Yarrowia lipolytica: one gene and its partners. The protein of the gene in region 3 binds, or shares a complex with, the protein of the main gene of each other region. Links are inferred from orthologs where the notes say so. Each region holds a gene or a part of one and is shown on either strand. Other genes may lie near its edges.

Region 1 (1,872 bases), about 1.7 Mb from region 3:
TGTTCAAGAGATAAATATACTAAACTAAATCAATACATTTAGGCCTTGAGGGTGAGGTGGCATCGGCCGCAGTACTGTCGGTCCTTCATGTCAGCCATGAAGACACCGGCACCGCAGGACTCAGACTCACACTCTCGTCGAAGTCGCTCAACCTTTCCGTCATCGTCAACCTTGTAGAGGTTGAGGACAGCAAGCTTGTTCTTCTTTCGCTTGTGCTTGATCTTCTTGGGGGTGGTGTAGACCTTCTTCTTTCGCTTCTTACCACCACCTCGAAGTCGCAGGACGAGATGGAGAGTGGACTCCTTCTGGATGTTGTAGTCAGAAAGGGTTCGGCCGTCCTCGAGCTGCTTACCGGCGAAGATAAGTCGCTGCTGGTCCGGGGGAATTCCCTCCTTGTCCTGGATCTTGGACTTGACGTTGTCGATGGTGTCGGAAGACTCCACCTCGAGGGTGATAGTCTTACCGGTAAGGGTCTTGACAAAAATCTGCATTTCGGTGTCGTCTGCAAAGAAAACTGTGCTGTTGTTAGTGGTTGCTCCTTGAGGTCCTGCTCTTCAGCTTTTGCATCGCTCCACTGCGTTCGCTGCGTTCGCCACCGTGTGGTGTGTCGTTATTACTCACCGTCTTTCTAGCCGAAGTGTCTGAAGAAGAAGAAAAGGAAGAGCTGCCGTGTAAATTTATTTCCATGCAAGTTGAGTGGGACTTCTCAAATAGGAAGTTACCCGGACCGCTATAATAAAACCTTATTTGATTTATGGTCACGTGGCGAAATGAGGTGGGGGGGGGGGAAACCGAAGAAAAAAAAACGTCGGTAATCTAGCTATAGCCGTAACTGACAATGCTCCATAGACCCCGTTTATCCGCCGTATCGTATATTTCCAGATTCCTTCCATTTTTTGCTGACTAATAACCCTAACCACCAGCATCTCCAACATGCAGTAAAATTTCACTGCAACATCACCATACACAAAGTCTCGAAAAATGACCGCCCAGAAGTTGCCCAAGCTCAAGTATCTGCGTGTCAAGAACCTGCAGACCGCCGAGGCCCCCCAGGCCGTGCAGCTTCTGTCTCGACTTTTGGCGTGCTGGTCATCCAACGGTGTCAACTCCGAGGCCTGCAAGGAGATTGAACAGGAGTTCAAGATGGCTGCCTGCAAGAGTGTGAGTATGAGAGGAGAAGGGTTGGAGATGATTGAGGCGACAGGGTCGGTTTAATTTCGTTTTGCAATTCTAACTCAGGTTAAACCCGTCAAGCAGCAGGACAGTATCAACTTCCACGCCAAGCGACTTTACCCCAAGATGGTTCCCCAGGGAAAGAACCGACGATAAGCGATGTCATCCATCGCCAGCATGTACATATTTATGAATTCTCTGTGATTTACGATACTGGGAGCGAGACGGAATTGGTAATGGTTGAAGATCGGAGGTGGGATGTGTAGGGAGAGGTGATGGAGGTGTAGGGTTTCCAATGGTCTGTTTGATATGTTGACGCCTCTGGGTATTGTAGTTCTGCAATTACTTGAGTTAACCAGAGTAACCAGAAGTTGTAGAAGAACTCTCTCGATTAGTACAATGTATCATAAAGGTCCATCTCATATCTCCAGACTGTAGACACTTTGCGACCACCCATTATGGCGATACTGTTGAGACGGTGCATGTAATTCGATTCGCTGTAGACTGTTGACGCTTCTTCGTATGCTTCTGTAGACCACTCTAGACCACTCTAATGCGCCGAAGTACCATCTGCTCAGTTCCAGCACGAGGTTCCAGTGTCCAGGTCCCTGTGATAAGTCAAAGGTTTTCAGTTGCACTACGATGCTGCAGGGCTACCAATGTATAGGAACTATAGAACCAGTCGATCCCTTCTCTACA
Region 2 (2,523 bases), on a different chromosome or scaffold from region 3:
CTGATCAAGAGATCGTGGACCTGGTAACCATTACCGCCAACAGTAGCGGTTCTGGACGAGGATCGCCACAGCAGGCTGCCCAGGAGGTGGTTGAGTACGCAGCGGCTTTGGGTGGCTCGGACAATGCCACTTGCATGGTTATCCGTCTAAGAGGATGGGGCAATGGCTCGCAGGTGGACCGAACCGGCGAGCTACGAGAATACCGACTCAAAAATGTCGACTCCCGTGGAAATCGAATGTAGGCATGTATATTTATAAACAGTAACTTTGGCAATGTGACTTGAAGAATGTAGCACGAGTATTCAGTGGATGTGTAGTGTACATACTACCCCCACCGATAAGTTCCACTAATGTTTTACGGTATCAACTAAAAATCTAACTAAAAGTTCAATTACTCTTAGAGCCAAGATGCGAGATTTATTATCCTGGCTCAAAATTCCCATCTTACGTATTGGGTGGAAAAAGTCGCTGTATCTATGGATAGATACAAAGACTTTAGCGTATCACCATGTGAATAGCTACTTGTAGGTGAAGTCAGGTGGCTCTTCAGGCACTGTAAAGCTACAGTACAGTATGTACAGCTTCTGAGGCATGAATCTTGGCTATATACAAATTAGTTCTTGGTCTGTCGGTATCGGAAGGGCTTTCGAGTGTAAGCGTACTCGCCAAGCTTGGTTCCGACCATATCCTGGGTGACGTTGACAGGAACGTACTCCTTACCGTTGTGGACGTGGAAGGTCACACCAACAAACTGGGGGATGATGGTTGCGGCTCGCTTATCGGTCTGGATAGGCTGCTTCTTTGTAGCCCATGGCTTCAGGTCGATAGGGACAATGTGAGGGCCTGTGTTAGCTTTGGAGGATGTGTGTCATGTCTTGATTTGGCGATGTGTTGATCTGGTCAATGGAGAACAACTAGCAGATTCTGTGCGTAGTCGCGAGAGCTGAGAGGTGTTCTGACGACGAATCGAGAGGCAACAACCTGACTGGCCCGTGTTATCACCCGGTCCAACCAATCAATTTCCGGTTTGACAATCGCCAATACCTTTGTGCCTGTGGTGTCACTCGTATTGCAACGAAGTACAGGCGAATCACGCGAGTATGGTGAAAACGAGTGGCAAAAATCTTCTTCCCTGCACTCGGTTCACCAAATGAAATACTCACATTTCCAGGCGGAACGACAAAGAACCCGTGTTGGCAGCATTTTCGGAGTGGTCTGAAGTGCAAAAAGGGTGATGTAAAAACGCTTACTACACCTAAACTCTATTTGATACTCGTGCATGAAAATCTTAGGCCTACATACAAATAAATTTATTTCGAGCCTGCAGCACACCACGAAACACACATCACCATGTTCACTGGAGTTCGTCGATTTGACCCTACCCAGGGCGGACAGGCGTCGCCTGTACCATTCAAGAAGGTCAAACACGAGGAGGAGGAAAGCAAGCCTGAAACCAATGCTGACGAGCACTCTGAGGTGGAATATGAGGAGGAGTCTGGGGACGACTCCATGGATGAGGCTGAGGAGGCCAAGAAGCCCGTGGAGGTCAAGGACGAGGAGGAGAGCGAAGATGAGAACCTTACAGCCGACCAGAAGCGAAAGAAGAAGCAGGAAGCCGCCAACCTGGCCAAGCGAGCGGAGGAAAAGGCTCTAGAGCGAAAGCGAAAGCGAGAACAGCATATGGGCGAGGAGGACTCTGATAGTGAAGATGATCTGGCGCCTATCAAGATTTCTGGCAACAACAAAATCAAGCTTGCTAAGGGAACCATTCGAGCTAAGGGCTTCGAGGAGCTTCCCCAGACTGAAATCTATGAGGATAAACCCGATGAGAGTGCAACCATCTCTCGAAAGACCCAACTTCAGACACAGCCCATTTTGCGAAATGCTACTTATGTGGAAATTGACGATGTTGGATCATTTGATGAGTTTGATCTGAGCAAAAATATGATGAAGAACCTGGACACTTTAGGATACACAAAGGCATTTTCTGTGCAGAAGGCAGTCATTCCTTGGCTTCTGGCCCAGCAAAAGCTCCTTGCCCCCGATCGAAAGCCCGATCTTCTTGTTTCTGCATCCACCGGTTCCGGTAAGACCGCCACTTACGGAATCCCCATTATCGAGAAGCTCCGAGACCGTATTGTTCCTCGAATCAGAGCTGTGGTTGTACTCCCTACAAAGCCCCTGGTCATGCAAGTCCGAGACGTGCTTGAAAACCTATCCAAGGGATCTTCTTTGTCTGTTGTGGCTCTTCGAAACGACCGAAGCACCAAACGTGAACGGGCTGTTCTGGAGACTGCCGATATCGTTGTGGCAGCCCCTGGTCGACTTGTGGAGCAAGTGAAGGAGAACCCCGAGCTCTTCTCTTACATCGAATTTCTGGTGGTTGACGAGGCCGATCGTCTGCTTGGCCAGGACTACTACGACTGGGCCTCTGTGTTGCAGAACAACCAGCAGCGGGCCCAGGCTGGTAAGACCAACCTCACTGAGCACTACGTTCGAAACATGCAAACACTTATTTTCTCA
Region 3 (2,599 bases):
AAGCCATTTTGGAGTCTGTGCGCAAGCCCGAATTGGCGTGCGTAGGCCCAGAACCCTCGCCGAGGTTCACCGGAGGCAGCAGACCCCCGGGCATTTTGTATTTCGAGTGCGCCTGGCGTCGGTACTCGGACATGTTGGGGGTGTGGATAGGTGTGGATCACTATCAGCGTGTTTATGCACTGCGATGTGGAGTTAGACTTTGGGCGATGGCATGTCGGGCAGGCGCAGTGGAGGCTATGGTGAGAGGTGGTTAAAAGTGACAGGGGCTAGTCATACAAAGTGGAAAAACGTCGGATTATGACCTTTACAATGTATAATTTGCACACCATGCCATTTTTGGTAGCATATATCAACACAGACCTCAACTCTGATTTATTGTACTGTATATATTACCATAAAAGTTCAAGCAAGTGTACTACGAGTAGGAGGGTGAACCAAAGTTTTGGATCATTTGAAAGCTGACCAACCAGTGAGACTTCTCCGTTACCGGACAGTAGCTGAAGTAATGAAGATGTTAGCTTGTGTATAACGTGTGAGAAATAATTTGAGAGCATACCTACCCAATTAAACAATCAAGACCGCCCGTATTTCCTCCTCCTCACACTTGTCTTCTAAACACGTGTTTGGCTTCAGGGTATACGCCACTCACATCTATGCCCACATCGCCACTCGACACATCTTCTGTTAGTTAGGATTGTGTTGCATCCATCGGCGTTGGAATATAATGCAAACCTTTGCCCTGCCATCTACTGTAGCAGTTTGTGTTAATATAGCCGCCGTGGGCAATAAATTTATGAATCAGCCAGTCGCCCGGTCCTTTAACTAATCATCAACTAGCATATCTTATTACTTAGCGCCATCAAGTTTCGTTGACGACATTCCACATCTCGGACACTGACTCTTCCAAAACCCAACGAATGAAAAACCAGATCCACGGATTAAACACCACAATATCACATGTACTACCAATACCAATAGACAGACAATTACTGCACAATAAATAGAACACCCTTTGCCTATTGTACCGCCTCCCGCCTACTCTCTCTCCCATCCCATCCCCCATTACATAATTGTCCCAACCAGACCTAACCCTGAAAAACTTAACCGACACTCAGGTGTGGTGAAATTTCGCATCAAACCACACCGACACAGCACACGATGATTCCTCTTCGGACCCTGGCCCCACGAACACTGCCGCGAACGGCGCTTGTGCGATTCAACTCCACTTTCCGACAAAATGAGCTAGGCAAGATGTCCCAGGCCTCAGTGGAGTCCCAGTTGACCCCCAAGGCCCAGGCCCTTCGACAGCAGCTGTCTGATGATCTGCTGGTCCCCAAGCAGGGCACCTACACCCAGACCGAGCACAAGATCTACGAGGCCAACTCTGAGAGACCTCTGCCAATTTCTGCTCTCGCCAACTACTACGGACCTCTCAAGGTCAAGATTCCCGAGGGCACCCCTAAGGTCAAGTGTGCCGAGCTCCTCTTCAACGCATACTTTCACGAGGACCTAGAGGTCTTCACCGAGTTTGCCCAGCGAGCGGCCTACTACCTGCGAATCCCCGTTGAGGGACCTGTGCCCCAAAAGACCCGATTCAAGCGATGGACTGTGAACCGAGCAGTTTTCGTGCATGCAAAGTCCAAGGAAAACTTCGAGCGACGAACCCACGGCCGAAAGCTCATTCTCAACAACGCATCCCAGGATACCATTCAGGTGTTGGTGCAGTTCCTCTCGCAAAACAAGCTGGCTGGTGTCGGTATGAAGGCCAAGCTGTTCACCCACGAAGGTCTGCCCGAGTCTCTGGACCAGCTGGACGCCATGGAGGTGGATGAGGTCTCCAACGAGGCCGTAGAGGCCCGAGTGCAGGAGATGCTCAAGGAGTTTGATGCCGAGGAGGTGGCTCAGGAAAAGGAGGCTGACCAGACCCAACAGCTCCAGAAGGAGTAATGTAAATAGTGTATATATGAATAGTACGGTTGAATGACAGACATGTAGATGGAATGAGTAGCTCACGCGTAGTTTATGGCTTCAAGTATCATCTGAGAGGCCGCTTCAATAGTGCACGAGATAGCTTTACGGAGTAACATACTAAGTGAACCAGTTGTGTTTGGATTCTTAAAACAGCTGTCATAAGCCACATGATGTCAAAGTGACAATAAAAACAACCTGAAAGCATCAGACAGCCTTATTGTTACCAATTCCAAAAAAAACAAAACTTCGTTTCAACCCAGAGAAACAAAAAATGATTTGACGACCTCGGAGAGGGTCGAACTCTCGATCTTACGATGGCGGCCATTCAGGTGACTAACAGTCGTACGCCTTAACCAACTTGGCCACGAAGTCAAATCTTAAATTTGTTAGAACCCAGGCACTGTGACTAAGCAGACTGATGACTCAGCCGGGGTGGCCATACCGAAGGTATGGTCACTGCCGTCACTCTCAAGAAAGGTGTATTAGAATACATGGAATACAGGGGTTTATATGTTATCCAGGGTTGCGGCGCAACCCTTTGTCCGTGATAGCAGGCTTGGCATATCGATATTAATGATAGCGTAATCCCACTGAGGGCCCACGTGGTGGCCCCTCGTCGTAGTCTCCG

The links.
Region 1: YALI1_F30106g (region 3) and YALI1_F13366g share a complex: the UniProt entries of both Saccharomyces cerevisiae proteins name them as parts of the mitochondrial small ribosomal subunit. The link is inferred for Yarrowia lipolytica from reciprocal best matches to the Saccharomyces cerevisiae genes RSM10 and MRP10.
Region 2: YALI1_F30106g (region 3) and YALI1_B29507g share a complex: the UniProt entries of both Saccharomyces cerevisiae proteins name them as parts of the mitochondrial small ribosomal subunit. The link is inferred for Yarrowia lipolytica from reciprocal best matches to the Saccharomyces cerevisiae genes RSM10 and RSM19.

The regions. Positions count from the first base shown.
Region 1 is NC_090775.1:1,335,973-1,337,844, reverse strand, and holds YALI1_F13366g (mitochondrial 37S ribosomal protein mS37), read left to right. Parts: upstream 1-981; coding exon 982-1,161; intron 1,162-1,239; coding exon 1,240-1,329; downstream 1,330-1,872. Other genes in the region: YALI1_F13373g (ubiquitin-40S ribosomal protein S31 fusion protein), read right to left, coding at 39-491. UniProt on the Saccharomyces cerevisiae protein: Component of the mitochondrial ribosome (mitoribosome), a dedicated translation machinery responsible for the synthesis of mitochondrial genome-encoded proteins, including at least some of the essential transmembrane subunits of the mitochondrial respiratory chain.
Region 2 is NC_090771.1:2,949,381-2,951,903, reverse strand, and holds YALI1_B29507g (mitochondrial 37S ribosomal protein uS19m), read right to left. Parts: upstream 1,204-2,523; coding exon 1,164-1,203; intron 844-1,163; coding exon 614-843; downstream 1-613. Other genes in the region: YALI1_B29528g (uncharacterized protein), read left to right, coding at 1-242; YALI1_B29505g (uncharacterized protein), read left to right, coding at 1,351-2,523. UniProt on the Saccharomyces cerevisiae protein: Component of the mitochondrial ribosome (mitoribosome), a dedicated translation machinery responsible for the synthesis of mitochondrial genome-encoded proteins, including at least some of the essential transmembrane subunits of the mitochondrial respiratory chain.
Region 3 is NC_090775.1:3,009,179-3,011,777, reverse strand, and holds YALI1_F30106g (mitochondrial 37S ribosomal protein uS10m), read left to right. Parts: upstream 1-1,158; coding exon 1,159-1,947; downstream 1,948-2,599. Other genes in the region: YALI1_F30116g (uncharacterized protein), read right to left, coding at 1-133. UniProt on the Saccharomyces cerevisiae protein: Component of the mitochondrial ribosome (mitoribosome), a dedicated translation machinery responsible for the synthesis of mitochondrial genome-encoded proteins, including at least some of the essential transmembrane subunits of the mitochondrial respiratory chain.